Schizosaccharomyces pombe: one gene and its partner. The protein of the gene in region 2 binds, or shares a complex with, the protein of the main gene of each other region. Each region holds a gene or a part of one and is shown on either strand. Other genes may lie near its edges. The genes, in order: sec20 and gos1.

Evidence for each region.
Region 1: gos1 (region 2) and sec20 share a complex: the UniProt entries of both Schizosaccharomyces pombe proteins name them as parts of the SNARE complex.

Annotation. Positions count from the first base shown.
Region 1 is NC_003424.3:4,103,191-4,106,946, forward strand, and holds sec20 (SNARE protein Sec20), read right to left. Parts: upstream 1,529-3,756; 5' UTR 1,433-1,528; coding exon 752-1,432; 3' UTR 543-751; downstream 1-542. Other genes in the region: RNA polymerase II CTD phosphatase Rtr1, read right to left, coding at 1,926-2,519; bbc1 (SH3 domain-containing protein), read left to right, coding at 3,637-3,756. UniProt on the Schizosaccharomyces pombe protein: SNARE required for targeting and fusion of Golgi-derived retrograde transport vesicles with the ER.
Region 2 is NC_003424.3:779,361-784,172, forward strand, and holds gos1 (SNARE protein Gos1), read left to right. Parts: upstream 1-2,000; 5' UTR 2,001-2,126; coding exon 2,127-2,675; 3' UTR 2,676-2,781; coding exon of another isoform or gene 2,782-2,976; 3' UTR 2,977-3,077; coding exon of another isoform or gene 3,078-3,344; 3' UTR 3,345-3,442; coding exon of another isoform or gene 3,443-3,784; 3' UTR 3,785-4,059; downstream 4,060-4,812. Other genes in the region: SPOM_SPAC4G8.09 (leucine--tRNA (Leu) ligase), read left to right, coding at 1-1,796; atp10 (F1-F0 ATPase assembly protein), read right to left, coding at 2,782-2,976, 3,078-3,344, 3,443-3,784. UniProt on the Schizosaccharomyces pombe protein: Nonessential SNARE involved in retrograde transport within the Golgi complex.

The DNA of each region.
Region 1 (3,756 bases), 3.3 Mb from region 2:
GGTTAAAGACAAGTTGTTGTGAGACATCGCGGGGCATGTGCCTTAATTTATATCGTTATGCTTACGTGCTTGTAAACACTATATTACGCATTTGAAGTAGAAAGCACACAAACAAATAGAACCAGGACACTGAATAATTAGAACGTTTGGTTAATGAATTTTTACATAAGCAGTTATTAGTTTTAAGTTTATAGGTTTAATGGAGTTTGCTATCCGATCTCAGATTCTAGGCGTTCGTACCGGACCCTAGAAAATATGCGACAGACTTAACAAGATGCGTTTCCCAATTAACAAGCGCTCTAGTTTTTATTAGGAATTCAAAGAATACTGCTCTTTTTGTACTGTGGTCAAACAAATGGTTTTGACAATCAAAGAGGCATATACAATAAGAATGATTTGAAATGCAGCTGCATGCCGACTGTCGCATATTTCGTGAGCAAGAACTCATTTTGTTTACGGAATGGCGTTTCCCATTGAGTTACAAATACTATAGCATTACTATCATCAGCAAACTTCTACGCCATTCAACGTTTTTATTTAAAGAGAACAACACGTAAATAAAAACCAATCGTATAAGATAAACATTAAAACATAAGAACTACTTTACAAAGACTTTTTCAAAATAAAATTGAGAAAAAGGGCGAAAAAATAATTTCTCGTATAGATACTTCGAGCTCGATGGGAACGAGCCTCAAAAAGCCTTGCTTTTAATCTCGCCTTTCTTTTTAATAAACAATGCATTTTCAAAATCTCACCGAAGAAACCAAAGAAACATAGAAAGAATAGGCCAGACAATTCGCTTGAAGAGAAGATAGACAACCACAAATATGAAGAACCCAAATCCCGAGACGACTAAAAAGTAATCACTTCGATCACTTAATTTGAGCGATTTGATTATCCGTTTACTTGTATATAAAACGTCCTCTACACCAAAATATTTCTCTTGTAGAGTTTCTAACAAGTTGGTACTCGAAGACAACTCCATTGCATTTTCGGCACTCATATCCACTGCCTGTACCATTTGTGCGTGAATATCACGCATAGCCGCCGTGACCTGACTGGCGCTTGTAAGATAAATATCATCAGATTGCCACGAACCAGAGTTATCCATTGAACGCTTTTGAAGAGAACCATCACTTGGTGAGGTAATTTCCTCTTCATCTACAATCTTACCTATTTCTTGTGCGATAGGCAACCATGGTTCACCACTAGCAATCTTATTCCGATATCTTCTGTTCAACCGAATGTATTCTTGTACAGCCTTTTCATATCGTAGAACTGAGTCTAGCTGAATGGATGAGTATTCAAGCTCTACCCTTGCAGTTTCCCATATTTTTCTAAACTCTCGAAAATGCCTTTTAATAACTTCAACGCTTTCTGACTGTTGTAATTCAACAACTTTTTCTTCTAGTGCATTCAGAACGTCGGCCATCGAATGCTATGTTCTCTGCTTTATTGAACAAGTTAAAGGAGAAATAGTATTATGAGATGCAAGAGGAAAGAACGATAAAGGTAAATGATGATGAGTGGGAAACGAATGATGGATGCACTAACAATATAGCACAGCTGAAGGTGAATATAAGACTATACATCGAAAGGTTCGGTATATAGAATAAGGAAAAGAAATCAAATGCGGAATTATAAATAACGAGAAATAAAGATGCTAAGAGAGAGAAAGAGACAATAAAGATAGAAGGCAATAAGGTGAAATAAATTAGAAAGTGTAAATGGTAAAGGGAATATTGTATCGATCTTTAATAAAAAGTCGAAAACCACAGAAATGTTACTATGCACGCAACTGTAGAATGAAGCAACCTTTCATTCTAGTTCAAACGACGCTAGACACAAGTCGGTGTCTTTTTTGTTCAAAAATATTATACATATTCTGGGGTGAAAAGAAAAAATTTGATAAACTTCCATTTGCTTTATGATTGTTCATTAGCCAAAGGATGTTCAACGATTTCACCAACTTTTGCCTTATAACCCACAGGCAACGCTTGCAGGAGTAAGCGTACATCTTCAATTTTTTTGTTTTCCAACTCTTTACGAAATGCTTCATCTTGACGAGGATCGAGATGTTGTTTCATAGCTTCGCGAGCATCTTCACGTATCCATAATGGTTCGTCGCTCAACTCAACCATATATTGACAACTTTTTAGAAAGCAATCCTTCGAGCAATAATAGTTGAGTCCACCGTAGACCTTCATTCCTGAATCTTCTAATTTATACCTAGTTTGCTGCTTAGGTTCATAAGGACAAACGGGATAACCGCACAGATTGACGAGTTTACGCTCCTTCACCACTTGATCGTAATCACTTTTTCGAAGGTATTTACGAGCTTCCTCTAAAGTTTCTAGGGAAACCGGATCAACCAGCTTTTCAATCCATTCGAGGGCAAAAAAATCATACTGAAGTCGACTGCGTGCTTCATCTATAAGACTCTTCGACCACGTGATCAATTGCTTTTCTTGAGTGCTTTGAGCATTTTTCGGCTTTTTGAGAATTGATTTTTTGTTCATATCTGAATTGGATATATTGGAGTCAGCTGGAAAACAGAAGGTCTTAAAAATCGCTATTAGGCAGATATGAGTCAGTCAAGCATTGGAAGGAGGAATGAGCATCGTAAAAATACTTTAGCGCCGTGCAATTTTTGTTAAAGAGTTCTTGAGTTACGCAATTCATTTACAGCGAACTAAGACAGTGCGTTGGCCTTGGTACTAAAAATTTTGATAGAAATTACCCTCTCAGTTGAGTGTGGACAAAGGAAAAAAAATAAAGAAAAGCATGCGTTGCACCAATCATGTAAAGAAAGTTTTGTAGGTCTCTTTAAGAAAATCATTTTACCGTTAAAAATAATAATGATAAATTTACATCCACCCTATTCATATCTTCCACTAGTAAATAACTGGTCCTTAATCTTAATGATTCATATCCATATCCATACCATACCCCACACCCACACAGTAATCGTAAATATAGCAAACCAACGATGCTGTGGCTTCGTTTTAGGATTGCTAGTGTATCCTTATGTAAAATAGGAAACCAGATCCAATTGCGTAAATATTATTATAACGTTAAATAACAAAAACCAATCAACATTGATAAGCAAAATAATACCCAATAATCTTACAGTGCATTACGCTACCTTTGGCTAGTCGAACGAATCACTGTCAACAAGATGTTACGATTGGAAGGGAATTCCCCAGATCCTTTCCCCACAATGTTCATTCATTGAAAATCGTCTCACATGTAGTCAGTCGCTTCTTCACGTGCGATATTATCATTTGGGTGTTTATTGCTGTTAAGATTGACCAAACTTCTTTGTCTGCACAAATCGCGTGCCCTTTAGGAACCAAAATGACAGTGTACTGGCTTAGATATCCTAATAGAAGAGATTAACGATGACGTTCAGCTTCGCTATCATTTGTATATATTTTTAGTGGTAAAATAAATCGGCGGAGCCTTCATCTTTGGTATCTTGTTTTCTCTTTTTTTGGCTTTTTGTATATCTGTGTTTTAGGAAAAAAGAATCAGTGTATTGTATATTGAATGGTACCATTCTTTTTATACTGGTTCATTGTTTATCTGATCTCTCTTTGTACTTAAAAAAAGTATTAGCGGATCGCAGGCTCCACGATGAGCTCGTTTCCCACAAGAGTGGTTGCACTCTATCCTTATAGAAGCAGCTTCTCCGATGACTTGGAATTTGATCCAGGCCAAGTTATCGACGTCGTCAGTAATCTGGACGGCGACTGG
Region 2 (4,812 bases):
AAACAATAATAGATGTTAGTTTTATAGCTCTTTCAAAAAACCATAAACTTGTTTTACTAGAATCCCAAAAGGATCCTTCGTTGGCAGAACATCTTCGCAATGAATCCTTACTAGACAAAGGATATCAGCTCCCGTGCTTTGCAAAAAATCCAGTAACTGGCAAAGCTTTACCAATATTTTATGCTCCTTACGTTTTGGACTGTTATGGTACTGGCGCCGTTATGGGCGCACCTATTCACGACCGCCGAGATTTTGAGTTTGCTAAGCGTAATAACATAATATTTTCTAAAGAAAGTTGTATAGGTTCATATTTTACAAATGAGGGAAAAGAACTTTTGAATCATCATGATTCTTCGAATTTAATGGATATCAAGCAAAAAATGCTTCAGCAAAAGATTGTCAGTTACCTTGAAGAGAAGAAATTAGCCAAACGTGTTAAAAATTATAGACTCAAAGATTGGCTTATATCAAGACAAAGATTTTGGGGTACTCCTATACCAATGGTTCACTGCGAAACCTGTGGTGCTGTCCCAGTCCCTGAATCTGAACTTCCTGTAAAGTTGCCTGATCTTGATAAAATATATGAAAAAGGTACTTCGCCGTTATCAAATCTAGAAACATGGATGAAAACAACCTGTCCGAAATGTCATGGCCCAGCAACAAGAGAAACTGATACTATGGACACATTTGTAGACTCATCATGGTATTATTTTCGTTTTTTGGATTCTAAAAACTCGGAGCTTCCTGTAGGTTTAGCAAGTGCGTCCTCTTTGATGCCTGTTGATATTTATATTGGTGGCGTTGAGCATTCAATACTTCATCTTCTATATTCCAGGTTTTTTTCAAAATTCATGAAGGATATTGGGTTATGGAATGGTGATAAATATTTAAATGAACCATTTACTCAACTAATTACTCAGGGGATGGTTCATGGTCTTACTTATACAACGATGTCGGATGAACGAATACTTAATCCAAAAGAAGTCCAGAAAATTGGAGACGAATATTTTCTAATCAGTAATCCTAAAGAGAAAGTTCAACTTTCTTACCAGAAAATGAGCAAAAGCAAGCATAACGGTGTAGATCCGATACGTACTATTCAAAAATATGGCTCAGACATTATTAGAGCTTACATAATATTTTCAGCTCCAGTGGAAGGCGTACTCCTTTGGAATGAAAATGCAATAATGGGAACAAAACGGTGGTTAACCAAAATATGGAATTGTGTTCATCAGTTATTGGAACGTGAGAAAAAAATGTCTGATGCGATGAGACAAACGAAGTTAACTATTGTCGACGATCACAATAGCAGGAAACTCGAATCACAATATAATGAATTTATTTCACAATGTTCTGCTCATTATGAAAATGTATTTTCTCTCAATTTAGTAATTTCTGACGCCATGAAATTGACTAATAATATAGCAGATGCTTTAAAAAATAACAAAGTCAATATCGGAACAATTAAAGCATCTTTGGAAGTGCTTGTGAAATGTATTGCTCCAATAATACCTTGTTTTTCAAGTGAGTGTTGGTTGCTGCTAGGACATAATTCTTCCGTTTACTCTAACTGGCCCATTTCCAAAAATAAAAAGGAGAATATGGAGGAGCCCGTTACTATTCCTGTCCAAATTAATGGTAAGGTGAGATTTAAGATTGAAATGCCCAAACTCAATGATGAAAATGAAATACTAAATTTTGTGCTTGAGACGAATGATGGGAAACGTTGGCTCTCTAATAAAAAAGTTTTAAAATCTTTTGTGAAACAAAAAATCATCAGTTTAGTCACCGACTGAAAGTTGGTTGAGACACGAGCTTCATGTTTCAAAATAATTTTGATATTTACCATAACAATGCAATGTTGGTTGCGTAGTTAATTTAATGCTTAAAATTCATTTTGAATGAAAAATATCCTATCTTAATATCACAATGTTTTCTAGTAGCATAGCTTTTCTATCACTGGTATATTTAGGAATCTCTACGTAGTGGGATACTTCTCTAAACTACATACTAGTAAGAACGTCATCTGAAAGCCACATTAATCAACAGAAGAGAAACGTTTGTTTTAAAATCATAACTTAAGCTACTAATTTTTCTCTTATAAAAATTTGAAGATCTCTTTAGCCATGAAGTCTATGCTTTTGAGAGATTCGGTGAAAAAAGCGTCTCAGTTCCAAAGATCGTTGCACAGTGATCCTAACCAAGCTAAAATTCTGCTAGAGGAAAGAAGGAAGCTTCTTGAAGAAGCCAACTCTTCAGCTGACGAAAATGACTCGCATTCAATGGCTACTATCAAATCACATTTTGAAAGACTAAAACGAGATGAGCAACTTCTTAATGGCGTTTTGAAAAAATATGATGCGAAACAGGAAGTTCTATCTCCTGAAGAATTACGAGATGCACAAAACTTTTTAGAAATGCAAGAGGCAAACTCTTTAGACAATTCTATTAGAGGCACTAATGAGCTTCTTGAAAGAGCTTATGCTACGAGGGAAGACTTTGATTACCAAAATAGCGTCTTAGGAAATGTGACCAATCGCATAAACGGGGCGGCCATGTCAATCCCTTTTATTAATCAAATATTAAGGAAAACCTCGATCCGTCGAAGACGTGATTCTATCATTTTAGCTTTACTCATATCTGTCTTGATGCTTTTGTTCCTTTTTTTTCATTAAGTTGCATGTTTTATGAAACGTTTATGAAGGGCATTGATCCCGCCAAAGTTATGAATATGTCATAAAGGTTTAATTAAGATGAAATAATATAAAAGTCCTTTTACTTTTAACCAACGTTTTTATTTACCAAAAACTTAATCGCTGTCTTCAGGTTTTCAATTTCGACATTAGTTGGATCACCGGTTCCAAGCCAGCGAATTTTGCAGGAATCGTCAATTAAATACACATTTCCAACAAGTTTGTTGTTCCATCCTATTTCTGGGAAACTGAACTTATTGTCGTATGCTGTAATATATTCATTCTGCTAGTTAGCAAAAGGTTATAAATTTTGGAAGTAAATAAATCTATCTTATCAAGCGAACAAACTTGTGAGCAGCTTGGACAAATAATGCGTCTACTTACCCAGCACTTTTCTGGTATTGATCTTTTAACTTTTCCTATAAATATCTTCTGTAGCCAATATTTTATTAGATTGGATTGAACATTTGCATAACGAACTGGCAGATAATCAAATGGAGCTAGATGTTGAATCCAATTCCTACATTGGTTTTCTCCAAACGCGTTGCTAAATAATGCAAAGAAAAAGGGCGAGCCTTGCCAATCTTTATATAGCTCTTTGTACTGATTTCGTAATGACTTCCCATGAAAGTTGTACATCCATAAGGCGCTCTAAAACGTGTCAATATTTTTAAGCAATAAACTAATTTTTTTTCATTCTTATTTGAAATTTCCAGAAATGAATATTACTTTTAACCAATTGTTCATACCTTCTCCTTAAATAATCTTGGAGGACTGTAAAACAGCTTACCATTAAATCGACGAACTTCGTTGAAATCTTGAATAGTTGATCTCTTCATTTCATTCAGCAGCTCCTTCTGTCTTTGCTCAGGAGAAGATGTACTCGCGGGTTTGGTAAGTTTTTCCCATAATGTTGGCTTTTGGACTTCAGAAAGCATCGTCGGTTTTACCAGTAAACCTACTGGAATGAGAGCAGATGGGGCTTTTTCTTTTGTATCATTGAGACTTTTGGTGCTAAAAGAACGCAACTTGAACTGATGCTTAACAATCAACCTCGGAATGACTAAATTTTTTAAATAATTATATGCCATGTTTACCAATTATAGGTAGATTAAAGGGGAAATAATCTTTAATTTATTATGCGATTTAAGAAACGCAAGGATGAACTTAATTATTATTATAAACTTCAATAGATAGGTATAGCAGAAAGGAGCTGTTGTTACAGGTGGAAGTACTCTGACGTTAAAAATTCATATCTTAATTTTCATTTTGGTTTTTTAATTTGTTTTTGGACATTAGTATATATCTACGATAAAGGTTTTCTCCTTTTAATTTCATTGTAATATAATTCAAGACTAAAATTGGCTTTTCATTGGATTGCGAATCTTTCATTGAATACTATCTTTTCAACTTACATTGAACGTGCATGTAAGGATAGGAAATGGAATGCTGAGATAATGAACAATACAAACCTTTCTAATTAATTCAATGTTTAAAGCAAACTCATTTAGCGAAAAATTCTAGCTTATTAAAACAGCTGTCAACCAGGGCGTAGAGATTACAATATAAAGACCTTACTTACCCTTCTTAATGTACTACAATACAAAATCATAGTTAAAAGAGTAGCTTTTTACGTCCCTGCCGACTGTTTATGTAGATGCATGAAAAACTATGAGAATATAATTTAGTAATCGTTTATATAAGCTAATACGCATTAATATTATATTAATTCATAATGCTTAAAAATCAAAGCAATTTCAATTTCCAAGTGGGTTAGAAAGTACTAATGGGGGGTCCATATTCTCTTTAAGACATTACTCACTTGAATAGCAATTATGACTTCGTCTACTACCTCAAGTACTATGTGGGGGGGTTGACCACTTATGAAAGTGAACCTACTAAAGTAGTTAGTGATACAAAAAAATAACTAAGTGCGCAATAATTCTCCGTCAACAAATAAATCGTTGAACTAGTATTAGTATATTGGCGTATGTAAGCTAATATAGTCGTTGTTTGCGTAAAACGAATTCAAATGGCTCCCAATCTGTGTTAATACGTTATGTTATGTATGATATAAGCACATTGAACATATCGGGATGAGTCAGTACTATTTTATTAT